Linked DNA regions of Sus scrofa. The protein of the gene in region 1 interacts with the protein of each later gene in a pairwise test. Links are inferred from orthologs where the notes say so. Each region holds a gene or a part of one and is shown on either strand. Other genes may lie near its edges.

Region 1 (4,285 bases):
TTGCTGTGGCTGTGGCGTAGACCGGCGACTACAGCTATGATTCGACCCCTAGCCTGGGAAACTCCATATGCCATAGGTACGGCCCTAAAAAGACAAAAAAAAAAAAAAAAAAAAGTTTACAGACTTGAAAATGTTTTGAAATATTACAATCCTAATTTCTTTTAAAAGTTATTTTTGTAGGGCTTGCATCCCATTAATTAATTTTCTGTTGTTGAAGATTTCTCCATTCTGAACTTTGAAAGGTTACACACAGTTTCATGAAGAAAACACAAGAAAGACTAAAAAAAAAAAAAAAAGCTTTTTGGCTGTGCCTGTGACATGTCAAAGTTCCTGGGCCAGGGATAGGACCTGTGCCACAGCAGTGACCCAAGCCGCTGCAGTGACAACACTGGATCCTAAACCCACTGCACCACAAGAGAACCACACAACTAAAATTTTTTACAGAAAATTTGAGTTCAGCTTTAAAATGTTGAGTGAATAATTACATAATATTGAATGAGAAAAAGTAGTTGCAGACCTTAGTTTCTAGGTCTGAAAATGGTATAAATGGCTTCCTGCATGCTTGGCAGGAAAGTATGCTATTAAATGAGAGAAGATCTATGAAATATCCTAGAATTCTTTGGAGGGAAATGGCTGCAAGGTCATTAATAAAAACTCATAGTATTAGGATTTTTTTTTCAATAACTGCCCTAGTTTTAAAATACTATGTGAAGGCTTGGTTTGTATTTTTTCATACGTATAGTGAGTGTACATTTTGTTTGCCAAGGAGAGGAAGTACATTGTGTAAAATAATTTATACTCTAATGGAGGACAGCAGCTCATATGACGGTAAGAGTTAGAACTGTGAATCATCTCTTGTGCATTTTCAACTAAATAGAGGCTATCTGCCCAAGAGGGAGAAAAAAAAATTCTACAAACCACAAACTCCATCCAATCACATAAAGACAAATCAACCTTCAGGCAAATCAAATGTCTTCACTTAAAGCTTACCTGGATTTGGCATTCTGCCCATCTTTTCCAAATCTCTTAACAATATACTTTCACAAACAGTTAAAAACATGCATACTGAAAGGCAACCCCTTTGCAGTGTTATTTTTAAAAAACAAGAACTCTTTAGCCTACGGGGGACTTGGGAAAAGAAAAGTTCCTTTTGGGGGTTTGCAACCTGTGAATACGGGATTAGTGGGTGGGACTGAGGTGCGCTCAGGTGCATAAATAGAGGCTTGGGCTGAGCCAGCACACTAGGAAGCTTGGACCGCATCGCTGCCGGCTCACACAGACAGGTGGGTGGGGAAACTCAGGTAAGGCTCCTGACAGCAGTATTAGAAGGGCACTTGTTAGAGTGAGTGCTGGCTTCTGGTTACTGTATAAAGTTGCAGGCAATCAACAGGCAGAGGAATGCAGGGTAGTCCCAAGGGCAGTGAAATTGAATTTGGGGAGGAAATAATGGAATTTCCAACAAAGGTTTCCTGGGGCCTCTCTTTAGCAGAGCTCTGTTTCTGAGCAGATTCAGGGGTAATGGTTTCTCCCTGAGGAAACAGAGGTTTTAAAGTGAGCAAACTCTGGGAGTTTTCAAGCCTGGCACAGAACCCTGGGTCTTCTGTCTTGGTCACTGGGCCTTGATCACCATCAAATGCTCTGCTTCGGTCCCACTGGCTAAAACCAAGACCCACAGAACTGTAAAACCTCAGCTCAGATTGGTTGCTTGGAACCGCAGTTCAGAATATTACTGCAAATCAGCAGTTTCCTTTCTCTACCTGATATAAAGATATCCTTGTTGCTTCTTCAATCTTTAAATTTTGGGATAGGCTGTAAAAGGAGAGATCTGGTTGCTTTCCTGGAGCATTTATGAACAGGAACACAGAACCTCCTGCAAGTCATTCCTTGCTAAAGTCGAGAAGACAAAGATACAGGGACCAGTAAAAAGTGCTGGTTTCAGTGTGTGTGTATGTGTGTGTGTGTCTCCAAATTATCAGTGTCTTACCATGTCTTCTGTTTTGGGGTGGTTTAGGCAGGCAATTTGCAGAGCAGCATCTATTCATGTAATGAAAACCTGGTACAGTGAATCTCAGTCAGCTCAGAGCAGGATGTTTATACAACAGGAGTGATTTCAGCTTCTTTGAGTCATCCTGGCGTAAAATACACATCAGATAGCAATAGTTCCAATCAGACAGCTTCAGAGCTATAGCAAGGGTTTCTAATGCCACTTGCACAATGAGAATTGTCAATGGACTAAATGAATACATCACTGCTCACTGTTATTTTTTCTAATATACATTGCTATAAATCAAATACAAAATCAAATATCTGTTAATAAATTTAAAGTCATTATTTGCCATGATATTTTTCTGACTCAGCAAATATCCCAAAAGTAATTATTCTCATATAAAGGTTCTTGAGTTTTGTTATTGTTGTTGCTTATATTAAAAAGAAGTCTTTGTACTAAGAAGGCTGAGCATTGTTGACTTATATCACATTTAAGTTTTTTATCCAAAATGCTGGATATGAAAATTGTTATTGGCATGTCTGCATCTTTAAGTGTATAGAAGATGAAGAAAGTATATCTCTATTTTTGCTTATATCATTTTTGAGTGAGACATTGTGTGGCTACATAGTACAACATAGATAATAATCAGTCAGTTTAATACAAGACATCATCTAGATTTGGTAACTTGGCAATGCCTTTTTTTAATATTGGATAATGCTTAGCAAAAGTTCCCACTCAAGCCATCAGAAGATGAGAAAAAAAATTTACACCTCAAAAAGACCAAGAATTTTATAGTAGTCCATCTTGATTCCTTTGCAAAATATATTTATTTCAAACCAACACCAGTATTAGAGTGGGGTGTTTCTTTTTAACCAGTTTCAGTCTTTGGCTTTGCTAGCATCCCAAGCCTCCAGCTTTACATGTTATGGTCCCTGGATAACCTTAGTGATTTGCTAGTGCAAGTCACTTTGCTGGCTAGCTCACTCCCTCACATACTCATGGATCATACCTTCCCCTCCACTTTCCTGCTTATAAGAATCTGCTTTGCGGTAGTGTAACATTCGAGAGAATTAACTTTGGAATACTGGAAAGGAAAAACAATTAACAAAGAGGCATCCATGGGGTTGGTTTCTCTGTGTGGGCCATATATTTTTGTGGGCCTATTATACAGGCTCACACTGAGAGTCAAAGAATCAGCTCACTGGAAGAAATTTGCACCGATGTATTTTAACCAATTCAGAACCAATATATAGAGTCTGAGTAAATGTTACACTAGGGAGAGCGTTGTGTGACTGCAAGTCTCTAGCTGAAAGTTGGCAGTTTTCAAATGAAAAAAATCATTTTACTCAGACCTTATTTTTCAATGGCAATGTCCTCATGTTAACAAAATGTACATCTAGGGTAATTTTTTTCAGGATGAAAAGATGGGAGCCAGCACCACAAAGTGATAAGGTGCAAAAACTTTGCTTCTATGCCCATCTCATTAGTCTTAATTTCTCTGAATTTCAGATTCTTCACCTATGAAATGAGGCACTGGGGAGATGGGAGAAAAGGAGAGGCAACCCCTAAGATCCATTCCACCACAAAAATTTTTTAAATATAAAATTTAAAAGCAAATCCCCTTAGCTATAAAAATATATATATATCTTATTTCCTTAAAATATATCTGAATCTATTTCTATACTTTTTTTTTTTTTTTTTTTTTTTTTGGCTTTCTAGGGCTGCTCATGCAGCATATGAAAGTTCCCAGGCTAGGGGTCATATTGTAGGTACAGCTGTCAGCCTATGACACAGCCACAGCAATTCAGAATCCTTAACCCACTGAGTGAGGCCAGGGATCAAATCCATATCCTCATGGATACTAGTCAGGTTCGTTTACTGCTGAGACATGAGGGGAACTCCTATATTGTAGATTTCTATGGATATCTTCATCAGTATATTTTATCTATCTGGATCTACATCTAAATAGAGGCAGACAGATAAATAGATAGGCATTCATACTGTATAATCTTAGGAAATGTCTATGGAAGGTAGTTTTTCATTCAATTGTAAGTGTTCAATCCCATCTAAGCCTCACCTCCTACCTATTACATCCCCTGGTTGTGATGCAATCTGAAGATTTTGAAGACTACTAATTCAGTTTTACTGACTTTTTGCTTTTTTGTCTTTCATATCAGATTTGCCATGGAGAAGATTTCCTTATCAGCATTCTTGCTGCTTGTGGCCCTCTCTTATACTCTGGCCAAAGACACCACAGTCAAACCAGGAGCTAAGAAGGACACAAAGGACTCTCAACCC
Region 2 (4,313 bases), on another chromosome or scaffold:
ACATCGCTGATTATAAGAGATATGCAAATCAAAACTACCATGAGATATCACCTCACACCAGTCAGAATGGCCATCATTAATAAATCCACAAATAACAAGTGCTGGAGGGGCTGTGGAGAAAAGGGAACCCTCCTGCACTGTTGGTGGGAATGTAAGCTGGTACAGCCACTATGGAGAACAGTTTGGAGATACCTTAGAAATCTATACATAGAACTTCCATATGACCCCGCAATCCCACACTTGGGCATCTATCCAGACAAAACTCTACTTAAAAGAGACACGTGCACCCGTATGTTCATTGCAGCACTATTCACAAGAGCCAGGACGTGGAAACAACCCAAATGTCCATCAACAGATGATTGGATTCGGAAGAGGTGGTATATATACACAATGGAATCCTACTCAGCCATAAAAAAGAATGACATAATGCCATTTACAGCAACATGGATGGAACTAGAGAATCTCATACTGAGTGAAATGAGCCAGAAAGACAAAGACCAATACCATATGATATCACTTATAACTGGAATCTAATATCCAGCACAAATGAACATCTCCTCAGAAAAGAAAATCATGGACTTGGAGAAGAGACTTGTGGCTGCCTGATGGGAGGGGGAGGGAGTGGGAGGGATCGGGAGCTTGGGCTTATCAGACACAACTTAGAACAGATATACAAGGAGATCCTGCTGAATAGCATTGAGAACTTTGTCTAGATACTCATGTTGCAACAGAAGAAAGGGTGGGGGAAAAATGTAATTGTAATGTATACATGTAAGGATAACCTGACTCCCTTGCTGTACAGTGGGAAAAAAAAAATTATATAAAAAAAAAATCGCACACACACTCACACAAAACCCCCCATAACTTTGCCGCCTTAATATCACATTAACCTTAACTTTTAAGCTGTATTTGGTCATAAAGTCCTACTTTACAAGGAAATTGCTATTGTAAAAAAAGGGATAGGTCATTAATAGTCTCATTTCCCGGATGTTATCTGATATATGTTCTAAATTATGTCACATTCAACACAGTGTGCACTTTGAACATGTAAGCAGAAAAATTGTATTTAGACAGTATGCATTCTAAGTCTTAAAATAAATGTGACAACAAATTGTAGTTTAAGACAGAGTAGGTATGCTTATCATCCTTCAATGCAGCTGAATTTCAGGAGAAGACCTAAGGAATTTATAGAAACTAGAGAAACTAGAATGGTTTGGCATTAGTGTAGTTAAGTGATCTCTTGAACTTTAAACTTCCACATCATGGTATGAATTTGGTTCTAAGATAAGAAATAGAATAAATTCTCTCCTAAGGACAGACCTGAATCTCTGATTGCCTAGAGGCTGAATCAGCTGGAGACTATGGCATTTGATGGTGCCTGGAAGATAGACCGCAATGAGAACTATGACAAGTTCATGGAAAAAATGGGTAAGGGCTTAATACTTTAATGGCTTGCCCTTTTGTTTCTCACAGACATTTCTCTCTCTAACACCTTCTAAACCTCAAAGCTTAGGGAATAGTGCCTGTTGTGGCGGTACAGTTCAGAGTAGGGAAACCGTATTTTTACTTCTTATATTAGAAAGAATACACTGTCTCATTAGTGGAAGAAAAGACTCTTGCATGCTGTTCTCTGAAACACAAAAAACATCCAGGTAAGTTTCATTCATGTTAACTGATTATTGAAAGTTGACAGGTTTTTTTTTTTTTTTTTTTTTTTTTTTTTGTCTTTTGTCTTTTTGTTGTTGTTGTTGTTGCTATTTCTTGGGCCGCTCCCGCAGCATATGGAGGTTCCCAGGCTAGGGGCTGAATCGGAGCTGTAGCCACCGGCCTACGCCAGAGCCACAGCAACATGGGATCCGAGCCGCGTCTGCAACCTACACCACAGCTCACGGCAACGCCGGATCGTTAACCCACTGAGCAAGGGCAGGGACTGAACCCGCAACCTCATGGTTCCTAGTCGGATTCGTTAACCACTGCGCCACGACGGGAACTCCTGAAAGTTGACAGGTTTTTTTGTTTGTTTGTTTAGAAAGTAAAATATGGCAGTAGGTAATGATAACTTCCATACTTTAAAACACTGAATTCTAGGGGATGGAAAAGCAAAGACCATATCATAAAGCAACAAAAAAGAGTTCTATGACTTAATGACTTAAATGACCCAATCTCTTTTCCTCTGACTTAGTAAACTTTTGGAATAATCTCATGATACAATGTGGTTTCTATGAAGTTTTGATTTAATGGATTTTACTATCTATCTATATCAATACTTTGGCAGTCCACGGGCAAAAAAAAAAAAAGTTATTACCTAAAAATAAAAATTTGCATCAATTATATCCTATAGTTTAGGCATTTCAAGTTTCAATTAATGGAATATGTACATTCTCACAATAATGAATTTGACTGTAATATTTGCTAATTTTCTTTTTGGTGACTGTCAGAAATGCCGCAAAAAACCAAAGAGAATTATGAAGTTCAAAATTTTAAAGCCATTATGTAAAGCAAAGAAGAATTTAAAAAAAGAAAAGAAAAGAACCATACATGAGGAATTAAATGTACTCTTATAAATATGTAAATATACTTTGAAAATCCTTGACTTGACATTCCTGGGATTTGTTTTACTTAACACTGAAATAAAAATCTTGATAGTTTTTAAAAAACTGCTCAGTTCTAAGATTCTACAATTTTATGCATCATTTAATCTTTCTTAAGTTTTAGAAAAACCATTTGATCTGATCAAGCTTGAACTTCTACAGAAGCAATCTGAATGCTCTTATGCACAGACAATGCTACATCAGGTTTTCTTCTCCACCCTCAAAATATTAATTATTTTAATTAACTAATTAAAATAGAACTTTGAAAGATAAGCACTTTTTATAGTATTCTGACTTTATTTCTTCCAAACTCTTTCCCTTTGCAGGTATTAACGTGGTAAAGAGGAAACTTGCAGCTCATGACAATTTGAAACTGATAATTACACAAGAAGGAAATAAATTCACAGTCAAAGAATCAAGCACTTTTCGAAACATTGAAATTGTTTTTGAGCTTGGTGTCACTTTTAACTACAGCCTCGCAGACGGAACTGAACTCACTGTAAGAAATTTTTATATAAGCAATGTAGTCCTGATTTTTCTACACAGCACTAAAACATCCTCTGCTTTCTGTTATTGGATGGTTTAATCAATGTAGCTCTCCTTCATTTACTGAAGCAGCCAATGGAGCTTATCCATATCATACAAGTTAGCAGAGTGTTTAAACATAATGTTTTGATTTTCACACAGTTCTGCAAAGAACCTGGATTAAACAATAAGAATTAGAAAAATATCTTTTGAATGACTGAGTGTATACCTATTCACAGAGAAAACTAAAGCTTGGTGTTTTCAATGTTACATACCTGAGAGCAACAAAAGCTTTTAGAGTAATCTGACTTGAACATAAGAGACATTTAATTAATGTAACTGAAGTAACAAAATAAATGAACAAATTAGTGAATGAATGATCAAACAGAAAGGTCTACTGCTACAATGTAAGTCACTGGGAATACACCCTTTAATATTTTAAATATGAAATTTTACAGAGTCACATTTTTCAACTGATTTTTTAAAAAATTTTGCCCTTAGAATTTTTCTAGTTAAATTATACATGTTTGCAATGATAATTAATTGCCAAATATTTTATCAGTTATGTTGTATTTTATTTTACTTCACTTTGGTTTACTTTTCTCATTTTTTGACTGTACCCGCAGCACATGTAAGTTTCTGGGTCAGGGACTGATTTTGCGCCACAGCTGTAACCTATGCCTCAGCTGTGGCAATGCCAGATCCTTAACCTACTGCGCCAGGCCAGGGTTTGAACCCATGTTGCTGTAGAGACAATGGCAGATCCTTAACTCACTGCACCAAAGAGGGGACTCCCACGCTTATATTTTAATTACTACGACACGTACATGAATTAAAACAAGCACAAGCTCTTTTAGCTTTTCCATGAAACTAATATGAACCATCATTAAATTTAGAACACTACTCAACGTGAAAGATTTAGAAGCTCTGATGATCTGCCTTAAAATTCAGCATTTGCAAACTATTGAGTGGGATGAGCATGATGGTTACCAGCACAAACTCTAGAGCCCAACAGCCTAGGTTCAACCCTGGCTTTGTGGCTTGAGGTAAATTATGGCATCTCAGTTTTCTGATCTGTGAAATGGAGATATTTACTTCATAATTTTGAAGATATAAATCTGTAGAACTCAGAGCAGTGTCTCATACATTTAAGACCCTAAAAAATGCTATTTACTATTATTATTTTTTATTTTACAT

What was found.
Region 2: the proteins of AGR2 (region 1) and FABP2 interact in binary tests that used the Homo sapiens proteins (3 or more experiments, as listed by UniProt). The two-hybrid records come from large-scale screens. The link is inferred for Sus scrofa from reciprocal best matches to the Homo sapiens genes AGR2 and FABP2.

The regions. Positions count from the first base shown.
Region 1 is NC_010451.4:86,050,811-86,055,095, reverse strand, and holds the start of AGR2 (anterior gradient protein 2 homolog precursor), read left to right. Parts: upstream 1-1,263; 5' UTR 1,264-1,301; intron 1,302-4,164; 5' UTR 4,165-4,171; coding exon 4,172-4,285. UniProt on the Homo sapiens protein: Required for MUC2 post-transcriptional synthesis and secretion. May play a role in the production of mucus by intestinal cells. Proto-oncogene that may play a role in cell migration, cell differentiation and cell growth. Promotes cell adhesion.
Region 2 is NC_010450.4:104,463,018-104,467,330, forward strand, and holds the start of FABP2 (fatty acid-binding protein, intestinal), read left to right. Parts: upstream 1-1,324; 5' UTR 1,325-1,361; coding exon 1,362-1,428; intron 1,429-2,917; coding exon 2,918-3,090; intron 3,091-4,313. UniProt on the Homo sapiens protein: FABPs are thought to play a role in the intracellular transport of long-chain fatty acids and their acyl-CoA esters. FABP2 is probably involved in triglyceride-rich lipoprotein synthesis.